Linked DNA regions of Arabidopsis thaliana. The protein of the gene in region 2 interacts with the protein of the main gene of each other region in a pairwise test. Each region holds a gene or a part of one and is shown on either strand. Other genes may lie near its edges.

Region 1 (6,292 bases), on a different chromosome or scaffold from region 2:
TTTTCTATCTATAATGGATAGAAATATATAAATAATAAATATAAAATATTCTTAACAAAATCTTTCAAGATATTTCTTGTCAAAATCTATCAAGATTTATAAATAATAAATATAGATTACATGGAATTATATAATTAATGATTTTCCAAGATCTTTCTTTATTTTTATTTTTTAATAACTTCTAGCAAAATCTTGACTCTTAAATGACCAAGGAAATTTGTTATATAAAAAAAAAAGTTACCAATGAACTTTACTTTTTACACAAAGCTTGCACCTCTCACACAAACTTCCACCTTTCTCAATGTCAAACACAAGATAAGATCTAACTTGATAGAATGCTTAGAAGATGCAAATAATTATGCAAGAGATGAATGAAAGAGAAAGCTAAAATGTAATCCTTGATGTACACATATCTCCATGTCTTTTAAGAACTTCAAACATTTCCTCCATCAAAGGCATGATGAAATAATCTTTGATGTACACACATCTCGATGGATCACGATAAGGGTTAGGCGCATCACGAGAACACCCTATGAACGGCCTATCTTCTTTAAGTTGTAGTTCACTATCCATGACATATATTGCATTGCTACTTTGTGGTTTAGACCATATCAGTAATGGTCTTCCTTATCAAGAGTGTTTCTCTTATCTAGACTTGCAAAATCAATCAAATCTTGAGGAGAACAGAGTGTATCATCACGTCCATCAAGAAGCCTTATAACTCGTATGAGTTCACTCACAACAATGGCCACCACACATCTTACAAAACACACATAAGAAAAAACAAAAGGAGTTAAAAAAGTGAAGAAAATATTTCAATATCATATCTTATCTATATTACAATTAGAGTAGTTGTATTGTAAACTTTTCAATATTGTTTTAAAGATTCTCATATGTACTTCATATATATGTCTCTTTATATTGCAGCATATAATAATCTTTTCTCTACAAAATATTCATTCATATGTCCATTCCTTTTTCTCTTGCAACTTAACTGTGTTCTTTCTGATCTCTTAAAGCTTTCATTATTATCCTTCAATCAGCTTTCAGTAAATCTGGGATTTTGAAATAAAACTACAAGAACAATAATAAATTGTTAGACCAAACTTGTTTCATAGAGAAAAAAAAAAGAATCTGATACACTTACCTAACATGTTGACCAAGATGCAAATGTAGATTATTTAATCGTCCTCCCAGCTCTCAAAAAAAAACCCATATCTTTAGCAATTTCTTTCAAAACATGGAGAATATTTTTTCGAGCATCACTTATACCAACCAGTGATTCAAGAAGCTGGTGTAGTTCAAAAAGTATAGCCCTCACTCGTCGACGAACTTTAAATGAAAGTAATGAAAATCTGGTATTAACTTGAAACTTTCACACTTCTCTTCCACTTTTATCCTTTCACACTAGAAAATTACAATGTGCACAATTATAGCCGTTTCACACTTCTCTTCTACAATTTTTTTTTTCACATCAAAAAATTATTTCAGGTTTTTGACACATATTCCCAACAATTTATTTTTCTTAATAATTAATATAATTTTTAAAATATATCAATGTACAAAACATAGGCTCCAAATGGATGACAAATAATTGAATATTTGGGTGCAAATGGTTGCACAATTTAAAAGGTTGAAGAGGTTAAAAACATTATTCAATTAATCTTCAGCATTTTAGTTGAAAAAGTTGAAAAAATTATTCAATTCATTCAACTTAAAAAGTTGAAAAATGAACAAATTATAAAGGAAAAGTGTTCAACTTCTTGATCCACATTTTTGGAGATGATCATTCAACCCCAATTTTGTTCAACCTAATAATTTCAACTCATTCAATTTTGAAAAACCATTTGTACAAGTTGAAGATCTTTCAACTTATTCCTCTACAAAAAGGTTAAACAATTTTTCTTTATAACTTTTTTGGTTGAATGGATGAAATTAGTTCTTAGTTATTTATCTCAAATAGTAAAAACATAAGATGAATGATCATTTAACTTTTTATAACCTCTTATTTTCAAACAACATTTGCACCCATAGTCTAAAAATAGAAATTTGTTGACCAAGAAGAATTTGGTATCAAATGAATATTTTTTGTGGCTCAAACTTTTATTCTCTCTTTAAGTAGCTGAAAAATTAACGTTGGAAAGTGGGGTCTACAGACCTTTACGCCCATTTATTTACGCTACAATGGTTTTCTAATCACATCCTTAATCTTACAATTTGTTTGATAATAAATCTACTAATTAAATTTGACGTCACAAATCACAATGCACTGACGCCCATTAGCATGTTAGTGACAATGTAACCAAACTGATTCATCACATTTCAAACTGAACTCATTCCGGTTGACTAATCGGTTGGGTTTTAACTCGCCAACTATTCTTATCAGGCCAGGCCCAAACATTCCTTCACAAAGCCCTGCCAATTTGATTAATTTTTGTGGCACGTGATTTTAGTTTTGTGTTAGGTCTCACCAAGATTATTGATCACGTTCCATAATTCAAAACTTTGCATTATATACCAAAAATCCAATCCGTATTGAAACTTCATTTGTAAAGTTTTTTTTTTTCCCAAATAGTACTTTTTTTTTGTTTGGCCTTCTTATAGAAAGAAGAACTCAAAGCACAGAGAGAAGATGAGCGAAGAACAACCACACGCCAATCTAGCGGTTCCCGCGTTTAAAACTGAGAAAGAGCCCATAACGCAAACACGAAATGGTCAAAGTAGCGTTTGGCGTTTCGGTGGAAGTGATAAGGCAGCGAAAGCATCCACCGTAACGCTTAGAGGTGTCATCTACATGCTCTTCGACAACTGCGGCAAAGACGTCAATAAGACCATTTTACCCCTCGGCCACGGTGACCCTTCCGTCTACCCTTGCTTCCGTACCTGTATCGAAGCTGAAGACGCCGTCGTCGACGTCCTTCGCTCCGGCAAAGGCAATTCTTACGGTCCCGGAGCTGGGATTCTCCCCGCAAGACGGTAACTTTCTCACTCAATTCTCGATCTTCCACTCTAATCGAACGATTCTCGATCTGGGTTCTTCGAATTTCATCGTAATCGGAGTCGTTTTTGAGTCAACGGCGAATCAATTTTGACAAAGATTTCAACTTTAAGCACACTCGAGTATAATCTTACAATTGCCTTTTAGACCCTATAGTTTTAGTATTCTTATAAATTGACCCCATAACTTTTGAATAGATCTACATTTTGTTGATGTTTGCTCTGTTGTGAACAGAGCCGTTGCTGATTATATGAACCGAGATCTTCCGCACAAGTTAACGCCTGAAGATATTTTTCTGACCGCTGGATGCAACCAAGGGATAGAGATCGTGTTCGAATCGTTGGCTCGACCAAACGCAAACATCTTGCTCCCACGTCCTGGCTTCCCTCACTACGACGCTCGTGCTGCTTACAGTGGTCTCGAGGTTCGCAAGTTTGATCTTCTTCCCGAGAAAGAATGGGAGATTGATCTTGAAGGTATCGAAGCCATTGCAGACGAGAACACTGTGGCTATGGTTGTAATTAACCCCAACAATCCCTGTGGAAATGTCTACTCTCACGACCATCTCAAAAAGGTTTGTGTTTTTGTATCATTACACAAAAATGCTCATCTTTTTGACTCATAACTGAGGCAAAGCTTGAACCTTTGAGGCATTTTTGATTCGTAGCTCGCTAAAGATTGCGTTTTTGGTTAATTTTAGGTTGCAGAGACGGCTAGGAAGCTCGGGATAATGGTGATCTCAGACGAAGTATATGACCGAACTATATTCGGAGACAATCCATTTGTTTCAATGGGGAAGTTTGCTTCGATAGTCCCTGTATTGACACTAGCAGGCATATCTAAGGGATGGGTTGTTCCTGGATGGAAAATTGGCTGGATCGCCTTGAATGATCCCGAGGGCGTTTTCGAGACCACCAAGGTTTGTTTACTGCTACTTCTTTTGTATCCTCTCTTGCTGTTTTGTAACAAGTAATCTCACTGTATGTTTACTCTCTGTTTCTGACAGGTGTTACAATCCATCAAACAGAATCTTGACGTAACTCCTGACCCTGCCACAATAATTCAGGTTTGTGTGTTTTAGATATGTTTTAGAATCTTTGCAAAACTAGTCTATGGATTCATGACACTACTGTATGTTCCTTTGATAGGCTGCACTTCCAGCGATCCTGGAGAAAGCGGACAAAAACTTCTTTGCAAAGAAGAACAAGATACTCAAACATAATGTTGATTTGGTGTGTGATAGGCTCAAGGACATCCCCTGTGTCGTCTGTCCCAAGAAACCTGAGTCTTGCACTTACTTATTGGTATAACTTCTGTAACGACACACATCCACAAATGTAGTTATGATCGGTTTTCTTTAGACTGGTGCTTCTTGATCAATTTCAGACCATTACTAGTCTTTCAATCTGATGAATAGTTTTCACTCACTGCAGACAAAGTTGGAGCTGTCATTGATGGATAATATCAAGGACGATATAGATTTTTGCGTAAAACTGGCCAGAGAGGAGAATCTCGTGTTTCTACCAGGTAAAATAATGAAACTAAGCAGCATGAGTCTTGATTTGAGTTTTGATACTAAAATGGGGTTTGTGGGGAATGTTTTGCAGGGGATGCTCTGGGTTTGAAGAACTGGATGAGGATAACCATCGGAGTCGAAGCTCATATGCTTGAGGATGCACTTGAGAGACTGAAGGGTTTCTGTACACGTCATGCCAAGAAGACAGAGACAGAAACTGAGTCACTTCAAGCTTTGAAACTGAGTGATAATAATCTCGAAATGTAAAACAGAAGAGGATGTGTGTGCCCAAAAGAATATTCTTATGATAGATAATTTTGATTCTTGCTTTTCCATTTGATTTCCCAAAGTATTTGATTATCTACATTAATAAAAACTATGGTTATTTGTCAAATAGCAATATTGGGAACATAAATGAAGGATCTAGCATCCATGAAAGAGAATTTCTTTGTTTTTGATTACCTTGTTCTAACATTTATGCTATTGGTTTGTGCATATAAGTAAGTTCACACGTTTGTGTTTTCTTTTGCAAGCAAGTTCATATGTTAAATTTGGTATTTGGATACAAACTCATTCTCATAAGATTATTTTTTTTATTTTTTTTATTTTTTTTTGGTATACAAACTCATCCATGAAGTTGGATTGAGAAATTGCATCCAAACTCTTTTAGAAATCAAAATATTTTGTTAACGTTATTTTCTAAAAGATATATCACATGTCATTTTCTTTTTTATAATTATTAAATTTCCAAAAATATATATATATATATATATATATATATATATATATATATCACGATTTAACAATGAAATGAAAGATTTCAGAATTATTATTTGGTGCTAAAATATTTGAAATGATTTTATTTTTTTAATCTCAAAAATTACAAAATATATAATAAAATTTTAGTGGTGGCATACTGGCATTGCGATTTGATGATCTTGACCTCATATATTGTGAAACTACAATTTCTTTAAAAAGAAAAATTGATCATAGGAAAATTATTGACAAACAAATTTTGCGTCATTTTGAAATAGATCCGATATTCATCTAGTTTACAAGCTAAAAAGAACTTAATATCTATACATCCATATGCAAAAACTAACTTTATAAACGAACAATAGGGATAATTAGCACTCTGATACAAAAAAATGAACAAGTAAATATATGCATGTTGACAATATATGTCAAACTTTTTGTAGATCTCATACATTCATATAATTCATTATACTTTTAACGTGTAATATAACGTAGACTAAAAATTTGTTGATCAATAATTTCCAATAATATCATTCTTAAGTCGTTAAAACCAATTGTTATATTGGTACTAGTTTTGTATAAATATCATGTATTAATCTCTTATCTTATATGTAACTTTCAGGATTTTTTTTGGGTTAATCTTTCGTACTTAAACAGTCAGCAAAGATATATTTTTTTTTCTATTTTGTTATTTCTTTAATATTATTTATTATATTTTTAACATAAATATAAAACTTAAAAAGTGGTAGACATGATCAACAAATCTACGACGAAACTGTATATGAGTATATCTATCATTTTCTCCTTCCGCCAACTTCCACTGATTCCATCCCATGTGGGATTCTTCTATCCATGCATATATATCATAAAATTTGAACAATTCGTAAGTTAAGTTATATATTTGTAAACACAAAAACAAAAACAAAAATTAGTTAATAAAAATATTTATAGAAAGGGGTAGAGAAATAATATAGTACCGTGATGAACTATGGGGAGGGTTTGGGCCACCGCATTTGATTTTG
Region 2 (6,370 bases):
TAGAAAAACTAGAACCATACGTCTGTTAGAATATAGAGAATGAGCTCGATAAGGAACAGAAGAATGTTGAAACAGTTGACTTGGTAGACTGTAAAATAACTGTAAACTTCTTCTTGCTTGAGATTATGGTGTTGGTTTCATATCACTTGGCGTTTGTTATGTGATTTCCCTGTAGTTTATCGGATTGTGGGAAAATGCTGAAGTGTTTTGTGGTTTGCTTTGCAGGGTTTTGCAAATGATTCAACACCAGAAATCGGAGAGCAAAGTCTGAAATACATTGGGAGGATATTTTTTGCATTTGTTTTGATGTTTATTCTTGGTGGCCTCTTCACAGTGGCTCTTGAGAACCTTCCTAGATTAATATTGCTCTTTAACAACTCTTTCGTGTAAACAATATGACATTGTTCAAACACAGACATTTGGAGATGTAACTCCAAAAACCTTTTTTTTTGTTTTCCTCTATCTATCACTCATTGATTTGGGGATGTAACAGCTCTGGAATCTTTTCTCTCTGAATTTGGCTTTCAACCCTGGTTATGTGTTTCCTCCTATCTCTGCTCCTTTCCGGCACTCGTTTTTGTCGAGTATTTTTACTAAGTTTATATATATTCTCGAGTATTTTTAATTATTCAGTGTAAAAATAACTAATATTTTCAAAAATATATTTATATTTCGGATATTTTTGGTTATCCAAAATATTTCGGTTTATATCCATTCGGTTTCGGTTATAGAATTTAGTATCTATTTGGTTAGTTTTCAATTTTTGGTTCTTTTGTTTCGGTTTTGGTTTGGTACATTCGGTTCGGTTTATTTGCCCAGGCTTAGATGTAGAAATGGAGAATGGCAGAGTATATTGTCTACTTCAAATCAGACCCAATAGTACTTCAAATCAGCATTTACTCGTTTATTTAATCTACGAAAAAAATTACAGAATATTATACTGAAAAAAAAGAAGAGGGGAAGAGAAAAAGACAAAAGCTGCCAAGAACAAAAATAAAAGTAAACTGAAAAAAAGATTTGAAACGAAAATTAGAAAAAAGCCTCTATGTGAGCTAGTTACTCGAGATTTAAGCATGAGCATGGTTAATATGGTAAAGATAGTGTTGGTTGTTGAAAACACAAGTCCAACAAGTGCTGTTTACGTTTCCAAAGCTTGGTTCTTTTGGCATCGTCAATGGTCTGCTCGATCTATACACCCAAATATTTATTTCAACATAAAATAAATTAGTTACATAACAATATCATATTATTTCAGAAAGTTTCTATTATACAATTTGTTAATATACTATCTAAATTTATCTCTTTGATTATAGAATAAACTATAGATAGCTTGAAACTAGATTTTTGTAAACTATAAACTGACCTTTGTGGGAGAAAAGGTCTGTCGAAGAAAGGCATCAATTGAGCTTTTGGAACCATTTCCTTCCTCAACATGCGAATCTCTTCCTCTTCTATCATCTGTTACATATGGTTCGATTTAATAACGCGGCTTAACTTCGAGTATTCTTCTCAAACCAAGGGATACCAAATTCCAAAATTTCTCACTGTTTTAGTTAGAGTAGTTTCCGTTCTATATCTACTTGTGGTCTTGGTGTCATGAAAGTGAAATGTTCGATTTTAGACAAGCATGATTCATATAAATAGAGAGGTTCTAGTTATGTTTAGTCGTCGTAAATTTACAGCCAAAGAGAGACCAAGAGTCCAAGACCAATCAGAGTACGGTGTGTGTCGGTTTAAATTGTTTAAGGTTGTTTTCAAGCCAAATAATAGTAAACCATTTTTTTTCTTTTGTAATTTACCTTTTGCAACCTCTCTTCTTGTTTTTTCTGAAGTTTCTGGATGTAATAATTAGTTGCAACCTGCCAAGATGATGAATGAGCTCCATGGAAGTTGAAAAAAATATGATGATTAAATAAGAGATATTGAGGAAGTATGTGTAAACCGAATAGTTGAACATTGCACGTTTCACTGCTCTCTCGCCAGAATGAAGCTTGAACTCGAGAGGTTTTTTGTTCTCTTTTGCTGGTGCCTTTGTAATATTCTGATTAGTAAAACAAAAAAAGTCAACGGTAGAAGTAATATTGTGAGGTTAATATTTTTATTTTTGATAGTAAAAAAACAAAAAAAAAAAACAAAATTAATAGTAAAAATTAATAAATGAAGTATACGTCTAAGAAAATTTTGTAGAATTTTTTCCAAGCAATTAATTTGAGAAAATCTGTGTTTAATGCATGCAAGCATAGCTAAACCTTAATAAAACGAGGACGACATAGATGAGAGTATTTGTAAGTTGTAACTTTTATATTTTCTTGGGTAAAATATATTCATGTAACATATGCATTTTGTTTCTCTTTTACGGGCTAAAGATATTGTGGATAGTTGTGATTCTATTTATTAGAAAGAATTACAAAATTGTTCATATATAGAATCTCTATTTGGGTACCTTAGTCGTGGCTGCCTTGGTTTTGTCATGGGCTCTTTCTTTGAGTGGTTCCACTTTGGTCTACAATTAGATTAAGTAGGGATTCAATTATGCTACGATAACTATACTAACATACTGTAGTATTTATGTACAAACTACGAAACACCATACTTTTTCTTACTCATTATTTACAAACTTTTACTGAGAAGTTCACGAGTACTTTGATTTACCATTTCTTGAATTACACAACAATGTTTTTATAAAAACACATACTTACACTTCTGGCATTGTGAAAACTGTAGAAATTGTTGGGACATTAGGATATATATCAAATGGTAACTATATAATGCTGGAATTGGCAAATGACGTTACATAGTTTGAGTTTTTTTTTAATGTGATGGACATTAGGATAAAATTTTGGCAAATGACGTTATATAGCCAAACTTAGACTACAGTAAAAAAAAAAGTTTTTGATGAAAATGTGATCGTTGGATTAATGTGAAAAATGCCTCAATAGGAGAAAAATAATGTAAGAAAAGAAATTAAAAATGGAATCGTATCCTCACCATTCCTTTACCATTGGAACCCAGGGAGAGTACAGAAGAAGTAGGACTTGTTTTCCCAAACTTTGAAGACACGAAACAAAACACTTTGTCAATATGTAAGCCTCTTTAATTTGTTTTAGTTTCATGTATATATTATTACAAACGTGCCCAATTATACATAAACGTGTGAAAATATTTACGTGAAATGTGTGTATACAAATATACGTGCACAAAAGTAACAACGAAAGTAACCACTTATTGAAGTAGATAAAGAAAAAGTAACCAATTATTGAATAACCTTGGGAGAGGATTTTGTGTATGATGATTTTCCAGTACACATGTTTAGGCCAAAGAGATATATAATAATAAGTAGTTGTTAAAAACAAAAACTCAACCAAAAGCCAAACTCCTTTACGATTTTTGTTTGTCACAACTTATTATGAACTCTAAATTAAAAGTAAGTGAAATAAAAATATTACTTGATGAGTGAAAGTAGAGAAGAAATGAAGTGAATTTATAGAGTGAAGGACGAAGCAAACACACATATACAAGTTTGGACATTAGTAACTGTCTTAAGTGGCGTCTGTTGCTACATCAGCAACAAGCTTTAATTAGGTTTTTCTTCATAGATTTCTTTGTTAATATAAATGAATAAATGACAATTATCTATCGGTATACTATTTTGGTAAGTAATGTGAAGTCAAACATAAGTAGCTATGTGTGTTCTATTTTGATTGCATGTAAACGTAAATCTTACTGAGTTACAATATTATAAATGAAAAAATAAAGAATAATATATGTTACTAATGTACCAAGATTCTAAAAACAATATGATGATGCAACGTTATTGAAAACTTCATTAATTAATTATATATAGAACTGGAAAATAGAGTAATTCACATTAGTGAAACCAAAGCATGATAAACTGAAGAAAACATTACAAAATCAATAGATGTGTCATTTTTTTTATCGTAGTCAAATCGAGAACTTGAATCGTGTGAATAATTTTCTTAAACTCGACTTATAAGAGATGACAAATCTTAATAAATCGTGTAGATGTTATGGTAGAAACAAAAGTAAACTAATATTAGATTTTAACCCGCGGTACACCGCGAAGACAATTTATTTTTCTAAATTAGTATATATAAAATTTTGCAAATTATATCTATCTATAAAATATTTTTATTTTATAGTTTACAATTGTTATTAAGTAACGTCCTTCCAAACCCGTTCCACCAAACCCGTCCTGTTAAAAAAACTGCGGTACCCCGCTAATTTAAATTTATAATTAAAATAAATATTTTACGGGATTGCAATTGTGTTTTAGTTTGTCAAACAAAATTTTGTTTTAAATAGTTGTCGAAATCTAGTTCAAATTTTGGAGAAATAAGATTTAGTGAATTGATAAGAAATATATTTAGTTGCGTTTTGCTCATTTTAAGGGATTGCAATTGTCTTTTGGGTTGTCAAACATTTTTTGTTTTAAATAGTTGCCGAAATCGAGTTCAAATTTTGGAAAAATCTGCGTGATATATGGGATTGGAATATATTTGGAATGTTTTTCGTTTGTTAATCAATTTATTGCTGAAAAAACCAATAATTAAAAGTCAGTGGCAGCCATTGTAAATAAGTTCCAACTCCAGGATTTATTTCACAAAATGGCTGCAAAAATGTATATATAGATTAGTTAATAGCTATATATATGATGTTTGGGACAAAATTAATATTACATGTTGTGATTTCGGGTTTGGAGGGATTACGGGCTTCGGCCCAGAACCTTCTGGTATTCAAAAAAAAAAAAAAAAGCTATATATAAAGATATAGTAACCAATATTCGTAGTAGCCAGGAGTATTTGTCACATTTGATTGAATAAGTATTCCCAATATACATTTCAATCCAAAAGAGTTAGAAACATACTTTCAAAGAATGAAATGTATATTCCCCGCATAGATAAACACATATTTCCCGATTTCAGATTGATGATATTGTCCGACAAAAAAACAAATTGGTGGAGCTCTCATGCAACAAACTTTCTGATTAAACCTCCCACTCATGCACGTCCGTAATTTTCGTATATAGCGTCCATCTCACATTTGGGAGTTGTATTTTGAACTATTTAATCATATGTTGTTAATCGCGCGCTAACTTCTCGATGTCAAAGAGGCTTTGTATTGTTCCCCTTAATTAACTTTTCTAGATGGGAGAATCATTTAACTTGTCGTTACATTATTTCATTACTCATTTCAATTTAATATCCACATATTTTTGGCATTTAGGACGTAAAAAGGTAATTCAGATATATGAATCACTACGTGAACGAACATGGTTTACGGATCATTTTTAAAAACATGGTATACGAACTTATGGATAATTTTAGTAATGTTAATAGCTTTTAGATAATTTTAGATTACGTTCAAACTTTGTAAGACCAATTCCTAACTATCAATAATTTTAGATATTAGTTTTTAAAAATATCAATATCCGCTAATCCTATTACAAATGAAGCTACATATAATTTTTTGTTATTTTTTAACCATGTTAATTTAAAAAACTAAATTTATAATAATCTTGTTTTAAAGTTTTTTTAGTTAATCATTTACATTTTTAATAGTTCAGAAAACCCAAGGAAGAATATCTCTATATATTACCACCCAAACTATTATTCATATAACGTAATATTACTTTTTAATATATGTGTGAATCCACTAGCTATTCCATTAAACAACTGGATATATCATATATATATAATTATCTATCTATATATATATAGACGACTTAATCATCTAATTTTCAGTTATTTCGACGTATTCCGATGTTCAGTCATTTCCATTTAGACCATTTATTTTGCGTTACACTTGCATCCCTTTGATTTTCTGTGAAATGTCACCACGAAATGTGAATATATACAAGCAGTTGAGTGCAAATATTTTTATTTTTATTTTTTTAATCAAGCGCAAACTTTTGAATGACTTAAATCTGAAAACTGACAAAGATCCAAGATGAAAATGGAAGAAATCCTTCACTTTTGGATTTGTATTTAATCTACACAGATTAACTGTAAAACTATTTGTTTGTAAACGTCATTCAAGGGTTAAAAAATTGCGTCTAAAACAATCGGGACTACAATATCTTAACCTGGATACGACGTCTTTTCGACCTTTTTCTTCAAGTTTGTGTTTACGTTGAGAATTTTTAAATCAGTTTACAGGATTTTAACATTTAATACAATCATAGTTAATTTTCATTAAAAAAAAAAAAAGAAGCAAATAAGTGAATGCTATTTTTTTCCTTTTTTTTTTTTTTTTTTTGGTAAAAGCTATTTTTCCTAATTGAATGAGATTACCACACACTAAAGAATAAGGAACGAGATAATACATCTACGGGTAGATATAGCATTGTACA

The links. Proteins that work in one complex are often made in the same cells at the same time.
Region 1: the proteins of AT5G37478 (region 2) and SUR1 interact in a two-hybrid assay, tested with the Arabidopsis thaliana proteins (one large-scale study listed by BioGRID).

Annotation. Positions count from the first base shown.
Region 1 is NC_003071.7:8,876,639-8,882,930, reverse strand, and holds SUR1 (Tyrosine transaminase family protein), read left to right. Parts: upstream 1-2,490; 5' UTR 2,491-2,632; coding exon 2,633-2,976; intron 2,977-3,232; coding exon 3,233-3,572; intron 3,573-3,698; coding exon 3,699-3,917; intron 3,918-4,004; coding exon 4,005-4,064; intron 4,065-4,146; coding exon 4,147-4,302; intron 4,303-4,431; coding exon 4,432-4,525; coding exon of another isoform or gene 4,526-4,605; coding exon 4,606-4,781; 3' UTR 4,782-5,044; downstream 5,045-6,292. Other genes in the region: AT2G20605 (Plant thionin family protein), read right to left, coding at 6,065-6,116, 6,248-6,292.
Region 2 is NC_003076.8:14,878,497-14,884,866, reverse strand, and holds AT5G37478 (TPX2 (targeting protein for Xklp2) protein family), read right to left. Parts: upstream 3,452-6,370; 5' UTR 3,308-3,451; coding exon 3,266-3,307; exon of another isoform or gene 3,049-3,265; coding exon 2,989-3,048; intron 2,504-2,988; coding exon 2,444-2,503; intron 2,042-2,443; coding exon 1,943-2,041; coding exon of another isoform or gene 1,860-1,942; coding exon 1,800-1,859; intron 1,459-1,799; coding exon 1,364-1,458; intron 1,189-1,363; coding exon 1,068-1,188; 3' UTR 873-1,067; downstream 1-872. Other genes in the region: AT5G37480 (maltase-glucoamylase, intestinal protein), read left to right, coding at 226-390.